3 linked regions of the Macaca mulatta genome follow. The protein of the gene in region 3 purifies or fractionates together with the protein of the main gene of each other region. This does not show direct contact. Links are inferred from orthologs where the notes say so. Each region holds a gene or a part of one and is shown on either strand. Other genes may lie near its edges. The genes, in order: NHSL3, RAC1 and WASF1.

Region 1 (3,651 bases), on a different chromosome or scaffold from region 3:
GGAGGATGGATCCAGGTGTCTCTGACCTTGAAGCCTGCAGCCCTCCCGGGAGATTTGCCTCCCTGCCGGGGTACCCACACTTTACTGGGTACAGCCTCCCAGTCAAGATGTACTAGCCTTTCTAGTGTGCCGGGGAGGACGGGACGTGGACAGCCCAGAAGAGAGGAGAGTAGTACCACTGCAAGTTGGGGAGCCTGCTCAGTGAAATCTTGTTTAGAGGCCTGGGAATGGAGAAGTTTTGGAGGGAGGGGCCTGTTCCTCCTTCCTTCTCCTAGGAATTGGGCTTTCAGTCCTGGATTAAGACATAGAGATCAGAGTTTATTGGACTTTTGAGGGTTGGGGGCCCCCAGTCTGAGTGTGATCCATGAGTCCCCTCTGGAAACCTGGAGTTGAGTCCAGGGTCTGTCTGACTCCTATTGCTGGGTGACCTTAGGCAAGGCCTTGCCCCTTTGAACCACTTCCCCGCTGGCAAAATCTGGGGATCTAGGACACTGCTCTGGTCAGATCTGTTGGGGGCCTCCTAGCTCTGACCTGTGGGATTCCTGCAGACTCCCTGGGGCAGGAGCTGTGGCTGTTGACGAATGGGCTGAGGGAGGAGGAAAGGCAGGTTTCTGAACTGAGGACCCTGCTCCTGGGGCATGGCCCTTTAAAGGGCTTGTTTTGTTCCTGTCGCTTTATAAGGTGCTACCAAGGTCACATGACCCTTCCAGTGTTTTTGCTTATGTTGTGGGTTTCATTTAAAGGGGGGCTGGGGCTGCAAAGTGCTGACACAGCCCCCCATCCCCAGGATTAGATGGCCAGCCCCTCCACAGGCGGGGCTTGTAACAGGATCCTTTGTAATGGATCTCTGGCTCCTCTGCAGCAGGGGCCAGGGCCAGGGCCAGGGCCTCCAGGAGAGGGGGATACCTGGGACTATTTCCCCAAGAGAGACTGGAGCTCCCTTGGGCGGGTGGAGGGGCCTGGGTCTTTCTTCTCCCCTCCCCTGCCCATCTTTCCACTAAGGGGCAGACACATGGGTGAGTAGGGGACCCAGGAAGTTATCTCCCTGGTCTGCATCCCCCCTAGGATTTTCTGGGAATCTGGTTGTAACTCATGCCAGCTCTCCTTCCTGATTTCCCATGGTGTCTTCTTCCTGGACCTGGGTCAAGCGGTGGCATGAAAAGGGTGGTTTGTTTTCCTGTGAAGTGGGGTTTTGGGTATGGAGGCGAGAGCAATGTATTTGCTATGGGCTATGTGTATACTCGGGATGTCTTTTGTGGGGCCCTGAGTGATGTGTGAGTACACAGTCGTGTATATACTTGGTTACTGTTTGTGTATATACAGAGCAGGGACTGTGGGTGTTGTGTTTACGTGTGGGCTGGGTGTGCTCAGTGTGCGTACCTACGTGTGTTTATACTCAGATGCCCTTTGTTTATATACATGAACGATGTCTGTGGGTGCTGTGTACATACACAGTAGACCTGTGTACCTGTGTGCCCTGTGTGTGGTGCCTTATATGGGGCCCTTTGTGTGGTATGATGGGTACTTAGATTTATGTACACTTGGGTGTAGTTTGTGTATATGGGGGCTGTGTGTGTTGAGTGTTTACTGCAGAACTGTGGGTTATGTGTCCAGACTGGGGGAAGGGGGCATTGCTTGTATATGCAAGGGCTGTGTGCAGTCTTGGGACCGTGGGTGCCCTTGCCATGGTACCTGTGCACCTGCAGGGCCCAGATGCCTTTGCCTCATTTCCCTTCCTCCTCCCTCCCACTAGGCTCTGCCAAGGCTGAGAATGACAAACGTCTAAGTGTAGGGCCCGGCCAGGGGCCAGGGTCTGCAGTGGATGAGCACCAGGACAACGTCTTCTTCCCCAGTGGGCGACCCCCGCACCTGGAAGAGCTGCACACTCAGGCCCAGGAGGGGCTCCGCTCCCTACAACACCAAGGTAACCTTCCTCTCCACTCCACTCCCCTCTCCTCCCTCCAGTGCTGCATTGTCAGCTCTCAAGGTCAGGGGCCTAACTCAACAAACCCTTCTGGTGTCTTCCAGAGAAACAGAAACTGAACAAGGGCGGCTGGGACCATGGAGACACCCAGAGTATCCAGGTGAGCCCTGTCTCCAACTCAGTCCTGACTCTTCTCTACCTGCTTGACCCCTGGCAAGGATATCTTGGAACATTTCTGGGTCTCAGTTTCTTTCCTCTATCACAAAAGGCTACACTAAATGACCCCTGAGGGCCAGTCCAGGGTTTCTCAGTGCTAGGTGATGCTGGAGGGGATATGTGACTCAAAAGTTCGAGTGGGAGGCTAGACATGGTGACTCACACCTGTAACCCCAGCACTTTGGGACACCAAGGTGGGTGGATCACTTGAGGTCTGGAGTTGGAGACCAGCCTGGCCAAAATGGTGAAACCCTGTCTCTACCAAAAATACAAAAATTAGCCAGGTATGGTGGGAGGTACCTATAATCCCAGCTGCTTGAGAGGCTGAGGCAGGATAATCGCTTGAACTCAGGAGGCGGAGGTTGCGGTGAGCCAAGATTTCGCTACTGCACTCCAGCCTGGGCGACAGATTCGTCTCAAAAATAAAAAAAGTTCCACTGGGGAGCCTTGAGGAGGCAGCGCCAGCCAGATCAGGGCCTGATCTCCTTCTACCCTGATAGTCCTCACGGACGGCGCCGGATGAAGACAACATCTCCTCCTGCAGCCAGACCACCTCCTACGTGGCTGAGAGCTCCACAGCAGAGGACGCGCTCTCCATCCGCTCGGAGATGATCCAGCGCAAAGGTGGATTCACGGGCAGGGGAGAGGGACGGGGGGCGCCACTGGGTCCCAGCATCTGTAGCTTCTTTTCCTCCTTATCCAGTGTTTCGCCAGGCTCTCTGATTCAATGAATTCGGGAAACACGGTACCCTGTGTCCTCTTGCACATTCATGATACACACTAACTATAAAGCAGTTTAAGAGTTAGAAAATCTTAACTGTTGGAGGCCTGGTGTAACTACGTGCCAGCTGTGTGACCTTGGGAAAACCCTTAACCTCTCTGAACTTCTGTTTGATATTCTCTAAAAATGAGGATAAGTATCTTATTGGAATGAATGCCAAATGTTTAGCATGCTGACTAACACATGATAATATGTTTACTAAATAATAAGCTATCACTAAAGGGAAATTACCATCGTTGACTTAGTAGCCTTCCAGACGTCTTACAGAAAAGAAGCCTCTAGCTTTGTTTAACCTAGCCTTGCCCATACCTACTTGACTGCGGAAATCATTTCTCGCAGAGCTCTTACTACAAAAGTAGTGCCCTGCAGAATGTGCCCTGAGTCCTTTGCTGTAACAGTTTTTCTCCCCCGACCGGCCCCCAGGCTCCACCTTCCGACCCCATGACTCATTTCCCAAATCTGGAAAGTCAGGGCGGCGTCGGCGGGAGCGGCGGAGCACTGTGCTAGGACTCCCGCAGCATGTGCAGAAGGAGCTCGGTGAGGCCTGGTTTAGGAGGGCAGTGGTGGTGGGTGGGGAGCCTTGGTCATCCCTCTCTGCTGACCCCACCTCCTCCCTGTCCCTTCCAGGCCTGCGGAATGAGCGTGAGGCACCAGGCACGCCCCGGGCTCCTGGTGCACTGGATGCTGTACGCATCCCCACAGTGGACGGCCGCCCCCGAGGCACCTCAGG
Region 2 (3,651 bases), on a different chromosome or scaffold from region 3:
AATACAAAAAATTAGCCGGGCGAGGTGGCGGGCGCCTGTAGTCCCAGCTACCAGGGAGGCTGAGGCAGGATAATGGTGTGAACCTGGGAGGCGGAGCTTGCAGTGAGCCGAGATTGTGCCACTGCACTCCAGCCTGGGTGACACAGTGAGACTCCGTCTCAAAAAGTCTCAAAAAAAAGAAAAGCATGAGTGAGATGAAATTAAAAGTTTTCTCATTTGCCCCCCGCCTTTTTTTTTTTTGAGACAGTCTCACTCTGTCACCCAGACTGGAGTGCAGTGGCGCAACCTCTGCCTCCCGAGTAGCTGGGATTACAGGTGTCCACCACCACCCCCGCCAATTTTGTATTTTTAGTAGACACGGGGTTTCACCATCTTGACAAGGCTGGTCTTGAACTCCTGACCTCGTGATCCACCTGCCTTGGCTTCCCAAAGTGTTGGGATTACAGGCGTGAGCCCTTTTTTTTTTTTTTGAGACGGAGTCTTGCTCTGTCGCCCAGGCTGGAGTGCAGTGGCCGGATCTCAGCTCACTGCAAGCTCCGCCTCCCAGGTTCACGCCATTCTCCTGCCTCAGCCTCCCTAGTAGCTGGGACTACAGGCGCCCGCCACCTCGCCCGGCTAGTGTTTTGTATTTTTTTTTAGTAGAGACGGGGTTTCACCAGGTTAGCCAGGATGGTCTTGATCTCCTGACCTTGTGATCCGCCCATCTCGGCCTCCCAAAGTGCTGGGATTACAGGCTTGAGCCACCGCGCCCGGCCCCTTTTCTTAAAATAGTTTCAGGGTTCTATGTTGGAAGAGCGAGTTTGTCAGTTTTTATTGGAATAAAGAAATGAATTGACAGCATTGTGATAAACACTGGAAGTGTTCACTTCTCAAATTTGTCCATGTCTGGACGTGGTGGCTCACGCCTATAATCCCAGCACTTTGGGAAGCCAAGGTGGGTAGGAGTTCGAGACTAGCCTGGCCAACATGGTGAAACATGGTCTCTACTGAAAATACAAAAAATTAGCTGGGCATGGTGGTGGGCGCCTGTAGTTCCAACTACTTGGGAGACCGAGGCAGGAAAATCGCTTGAATCCAGGAGGCAGAGATTACAGTGAGCTGAGATCGTGCCACTGCACTCCAGCCTGGGCAACAGAGCAAGACTCCATCTCAAAAAAAAAAAAAAAAAAAAAAGCTTGTGCTTAAGGGGTGGCTTCCCCCAGACCTGCAAAGCGGCCCAGAATTGGGGGCCTTGGTGTCAGCAACAGTGTTGATTTTGATAATGCAAGTCTGTACATTCAAACCAGGCTCCCAGAACTAGGTGGAAGATAGGAACATTTCTGCATAGGAGACTTGGAATGTTCTGGTAGCATTAAAACTGTCAGCCCTGAGGCCTGGCTATGTTCTGGGAGAGCCCTTTGTCTGGTAGGCATCATTTACCGATGGGTACCTTTCTTGTGTGCTGTGGCTTCAGCTAGGCTGTGTCTGAGAACTCAGATGGAGCACTGGAAAGTGCCGGTGGCTCCCGCCTGCCTTCGCGGTAAGGGATGGTGCAGAACATCTCCGGCTGTGCGGGCTGTTGTAGATTCTGGTGGGTGCTGCCGTGGGAGGAGGAGCACGTTGTTGCCCCCATCAGGATCTGCCTGACCTCTGTGCACCATTGTTGAACTTCTTACGCCCGCTTTTGACCAGGTAGTGTGGAGTGTTTCAGTGGCATTTGTCATCGAAGATGTTAGATTATTATATGCTTTTGGATTCCTCTGGAGGGTTAAGACAAAATTCTAATAAAGAATCGATAAGAGGTTATGTTGATTTTTATTTTCCTCAGTCTGTACTAAACTCAAACCAAGTTCTCATGCATTACTAGGTTGGAGAAACGTACGGTAAGGATATAACCTCCCGGGGCAAAGACAAGCCGATTGCCGTATGTAAAACTTTCAGTCCACTTCAGTTTCAAGCTTTCTCTGTTCTCTCATTTCACTTCGTTTTCTTAGGAATTTTTTTTATTAAGCCTCAAGCTCCTTGAGTGTTTTATATTTAATTCACTCAAGGTTGGGGTTTTGCTTGATGAAATAAACTTGATTAGAGTGTGATAGTTTACCCACCGGCTTGAATTAAAGCAGTTTGTGAACTGCCATCTTCCCCTCCGGAGTGAAAGGAGGGGGGAGAGTGAGAGGGCCCCTCTCCTGGCTGGTTGGAGATGCAGATACGGAGACTCCTCTTGGAATCCCACCTGGCTGTGAGCCGAGCCGGAGCAGGACTAACCTTGTTGCCGGGGCCTTCTTTCTCCGCTTCGGTGTCCCGTGTGGTGGGGCTGTCTGGGCGCGGCTGTGCGGTGCTGCTGAGCTAACCCCACCGTGCTGGAGATGGTGTGCTGGGTGCCGCGGTGACTCTTGGACGAGCTTGTGCATGCGCCAGCGTTCTTCAAACGCCAGTGATAAAAAGCTGTTGTGTGGGATGTTTCTTTCCCTTTCAGGTACAAGGCATCAGCTGGAGGGTTGAAAGTGTAGCTTGGGAATTGTGTGCATTTCATAAAGTAGCATAATTGCCTTTTTCTAGGAGAATATTTTAGAAATGTAGCATTTTAGAAGTTCTTGGGCATTTTTAAATACAGGTAAATATTTGAATTTGGTTTGACACAAAATACAGAATGGAGGAAGCATGCAGATGTCTGGCGTGTTCCCCGAAGCACCCTCCACTGTGTCCTCCGCACCGACCCTTCGCGCCTCTGCTTCAGCCACAGCTGCCCCGGGAGCGAGTTCTCCTGAGGCCCTGGCTGTGCTGACTCGAGGGCAGCGTGAGGGTGGTCGTCAGCTGTGAAGGTGCCACTTACACACTAAGTCCTCCTTCCTTGCGGAGGGAAGGGCTCAAGTAGCAAATATTGGAGCCCCCACTTGGTGCTGGGAGCTGTGACAGGCAGCTCCTGAAGAAGCAGTTTAATTGGAACCAGTGACCATCTAAAAATGTTTGTACTCTAAACCAGATTTTACAGAAATATTGGAATCATACCTTCATACTTGATTTTTTGTTTAGATAGATAGGCGGAAAGGAAGCCTCCTGGGGGGTCTGGTCTGATCCTCCTGATCCTTGAAGAGCTTCTGGCATCATTCTGCCTTCACGCTCCCCATTTTCATAAGTAACTGGTGGCTTGACATGCTGGGTTTGGTTTGGGAGCCCTCTGACAAACTGAAAGGGTGGATCAGGAAGCATCTGACCAAGCCACTGGTACCTAGTAGACACGCTCTGCGTCCGACAAGTCCTTCCCAGCAACATCCAGAAAGCAAAGTGCAGGCTTTGTTCGAAGGTCGTTGTCTAAATGTTTCCCTGTGTTTCCTTTTTGTAGGATGTGTTCTTAATTTGCTTTTCCCTTGTGAGTCCTGCATCATTTGAAAATGTCCGTGCAAAGGTAGGTGGGGATTTAAAGTATATGAGTTATAGAATGACACTCTCAGAAATAAATACTTTATAAAGTATAATAATAAATAAATTTTAAAAAAAAGAAATAAATACTTTAAAATATCACTTAGCCTAGGAATTTTCAGTTATTTAAATTGGTTATAGGAATTTGCTACTTAAGTACATGATTGGGTTTTTTATTCTTTTGAGACAGGGGTCTCACCCTGTTGTCCAGGCTGGAGTGTGGTGGTGACATCGGAGCTCACTGTAGCCTTG
Region 3 (3,651 bases):
TCATTGGCATCTTCTTGTAAAGAAAAAAACTGAAATAGAGGCAGATAGCTTTCCACACAATTTGCTAAAAGTTAATTATTTTCTTGTTTATTAGATTATGTATGTAATGCTTTTCATCCTGTGAGTTGAATTAGTATTCTGTTATAAAATAATAAAATAACTGATGGTCATCATAGTAGATCTCTAAATCAACAAGTAAGGGTTACATTGTGAGCAGCATTCTTTGTTTTAAAAGCAGGATTAATGTAATACTTTTCTGAAAGTTTCTTAAAAATAGTTAAAATGTTGGCATTGAAAGGATAAACTTTAAATATTTAATATCTCATGTAGAACACTTTTCCTCCCAATAATTCAAGAAAAATTCACTGATACTGTATATTTCTTTTAGACCTCAGACATACGTGGATCATATGGATGGATCGTACTCACTTTCTGCCTTGCCATTTAGTCAGATGAGTGAGCTTCTGACTAGAGCTGAGGAAAGGGTATTAGTCAGACCACATGAACCACCTCCGCCTCCACCAATGCATGGAGCAGGAGATGCGAAACCGATACCCACCTGTATCAGGTATGTTGGAACAAGCATATGATGTTTTATCTTAGGAGTCAGTAACTTTTTCTTTCAAGGACGAGATAGTAAGTATTTTTGGCTTTCAGGGCTTACAGTTTTTGTCACAAGTACTCAATTCTGCCATTGTTGCATGAAAGCCACCATAGACTATACATAAACAAATGTGTCTGCATTTAAATAAACTCTGTTTATAAAAACAGGCAGCAGGTCTGATTTGGTCTATGGGGCATTATTTGTAATCTTCTGGTTAGAGCTGACACACTCTCCTAGGAAAATTTAGCTAATAAGAATTTAAAGACTAAAGCCTGTTTCATTTTATTATAGTGTTGTTATTAAGCATATCATGTGCAGTGTATTAAGAAAAATTAAGGATTTTTTGGAATGTGGGTAACAGTCTAAGAAATGGGAACCAAAGATGTGATTATTAATACTAATTTGGTATTAAGGAAAATACTTAAAGAATTTCAGAGAGGATTGGCAGTTGCTCATAATAATCTTTCTGTAAAGCTATTTTGAAGTTTAATCTTGTCAGTTATTATCCAAATGATAAATTTCTAATAGAGAAATATTAGGGAAATTTTCTAATAGAGATATAGAGATCAGCTTTACAATTTTCAGTTAAAAATCCAATTTTCTATCACTGACTCATTTGATGTTCCATCCTCAGGAAAAGAGAGAGCTGTGAATTTCTTTCTGTGGTTTGTAATTAGCTGTCATTGATGTAACTGAAATAGCATATGATGAGACTTAATAGTTTCAGTATAAATACAACATTATATTGGCCACAAGTATTGCTACAAAATTGCATTATGATCAATGTTGAGTCATTACAGAGACTCCTGTCAGTATAGAATTGAGCATTTTATTTATCAAAGTGAGCATAAAATGTCTGAGTGGATGCAAAAGTTGCATGAAAGAATGAGACTATTTAGACTATTACAAACCAAAGCACCACTCATTAACTTTTTTTGTTGATGTGCTTTTAGTTCTTTTTTTCCCTAAATACTGTTGAAGATGTTAAATTTCTATAGGAGCATGTTAATGGATCTATTTTGATATAATTACAGATAGTCATTTATAGTTTGTGTGGTTAGATTTTCTCTTTAGGCTTTTCTCTTTTAATAACTTGCTAGAATCTCTTTGTCATTTCAGTTCTGCTACAGGTTTGATAGAAAATCGCCCTCAGTCACCGGCTACAGGCAGAACACCTGTGTTTGTGAGCCCCACTCCCCCACCTCCTCCACCACCTCTTCCATCTGCCTTGTCAACTTCCTCATTAAGAGCTTCAATGACTTCAACTCCTCCCCCTCCAGTGCCTCCCCCACCTCCACCTCCAACCACTGCTTTGCAAGCTCCAGCAGTACCACCACCTCCAGCTCCTCTTCAGATTGCCCCTGGAGTTCTTCACCCAGCTCCTCCTCCAATTGCACCTCCTCTAGTACAGCCCTCTCCACCAGTAGCTAGAGCTGCCCCAGTATGTGAAACTGTACCAGTTCATCCACTCCCACAAGGTGAAGTTCAGGGGCTGCCTCCACCCCCACCACCGCCTCCTCTGCCTCCACCTGGCATTCGACCATCATCACCTGTCACAGTTACAGCTCTTGCTCATCCTCCCTCTGGGCTACATCCAACTCCATCTACTGCCCCAGGTCCCCATGTTCCATTAATGCCTCCATCTCCTCCATCACAAGTTATACCTGCTTCTGAGCCAAAGCGCCATCCATCAACCCTACCTGTAATCAGTGATGCCAGGAGTGTGCTACTGGAAGCAATACGAAAAGGTAATTTTCTCAGCTCCATGAAAAGCATTGCTATAGTAGCATTGGAAACTTTCTAAATATTTAAGACAAAAATGTGTTCCTTATTTATAAAATTTTAGGTGATCATGTTGTGTACAAATGGCCTTTAGAAAGTAAAGCTATATCCAACTTATATTTAAAATCATTTTCCAGAAAATAGATCACATTTGATCATTTTATTTTCATGCTTTGTAGGTATCCTTAAAATGTTTATTGAGTGAATGAGAAATTTAATATATCAGACTTGTGTTATAGAATATTTAATTAAAACCCTTTATATTATGCTTAATGTGTATATTAACTCCTTTAAGAATAGTATTTTCTTCAATGTTAAGGCTGTTCATTTCGGGTATCCATGACACTTACTCTACCAGATGCCCTTAAAGGAGTGAGGTTCTTCCCTTAGTAACAAAGGAAAGACTTCTCATATTCATTCATGTATTGTCATTATTTCCTAAGCAATGACTGTAGGCCAGGCACTGAGCATATAGAATGAATAATAGTGCCTTTCCCTCAAGTACAATGGATAATGAAGCCACAGAAAATATATTCAACAATGTTTAATTTATTTGACCATTGGGATGATAGAAGAAATGTACCACCTCATTAATTTTTTAGGGGGTGGTAAGCAAGGAGGTATAGTAGACCATGATGGATAAATAAACTTTAGATACCTACTGGGATACCTGGTAAGTTTTACCAACTAATAACACAGATAACATAAAGATTTAATGCCTCTCTCAGTATGATTTCTTCACATTCTTTTCTGATCTTTTTATTTTTCCTATTAGTATTTCTCATGTGCATTTGATTTTATTCCAGAAATGTTAATAATATCAAGTATTTAGTATTTAGTATTTTGATTTAAATGAATGGTTTGGATTCACTATATCAGGTATTCAACTACGCAAAGTAGAAGAGCAGCGTGAACAGGAAGCTAAACATGAACGCATTGAAAATGATGTTGCCACCATCCTGTCTCGCCGTATTGCTGTTGAATATAGTGATTCGGAAGATGATTCAGAATTTGATGAAGTAGATTGGTTGGAGTAAGAAAAATGCATTGATAAATATTACAAAACTGAATGCAAATGTCCTTTGTGGTGCTTGTTCCTTGAAAATGTTGGTCATTCTAGTGTTTTGCTTTCTTTTCCTTATAATAAATGACCCTTTTCCTCCATAACTTTTGATTTCTAAGGAAAATATTAGCATACATTTCAAACTAAATGTTTTACAGTGGCTTATCTTTTTCTTCCCCCTGAAAAGACTAATTTGGTCAAA

Evidence for each region.
Region 1: the proteins of WASF1 (region 3) and NHSL3 purify together in Homo sapiens (affinity purification with mass spectrometry; 3 studies listed by BioGRID and IntAct, with this or other methods). This does not show direct contact. The link is inferred for Macaca mulatta from reciprocal best matches to the Homo sapiens genes WASF1 and NHSL3.
Region 2: the proteins of WASF1 (region 3) and RAC1 purify together in Homo sapiens (affinity purification with western blotting; 3 studies listed by BioGRID and IntAct, with this or other methods). This does not show direct contact. The link is inferred for Macaca mulatta from reciprocal best matches to the Homo sapiens genes WASF1 and RAC1.

What each region holds. Positions count from the first base shown.
Region 1 is NC_133406.1:208,089,396-208,093,046, reverse strand, and holds part of NHSL3 (NHS-like protein 3), read left to right. Parts: intron 1-1,753; coding exon 1,754-1,924; intron 1,925-2,028; coding exon 2,029-2,084; intron 2,085-2,640; coding exon 2,641-2,764; intron 2,765-3,344; coding exon 3,345-3,458; intron 3,459-3,548; coding exon 3,549-3,651. UniProt on the Homo sapiens protein: Able to directly activate the TNF-NFkappaB signaling pathway.
Region 2 is NC_133408.1:44,612,292-44,615,942, reverse strand, and holds part of RAC1 (ras-related C3 botulinum toxin substrate 1), read left to right. Parts: intron 1-1,846; coding exon 1,847-1,903; intron 1,904-3,322; coding exon 3,323-3,385; intron 3,386-3,651. UniProt on the Homo sapiens protein: Plasma membrane-associated small GTPase which cycles between active GTP-bound and inactive GDP-bound states.
Region 3 is NC_133409.1:15,156,051-15,159,701, reverse strand, and holds part of WASF1 (actin-binding protein WASF1), read left to right. Parts: intron 1-388; coding exon 389-568; intron 569-1,723; coding exon 1,724-2,352; intron 2,353-3,265; coding exon 3,266-3,423; 3' UTR 3,424-3,651.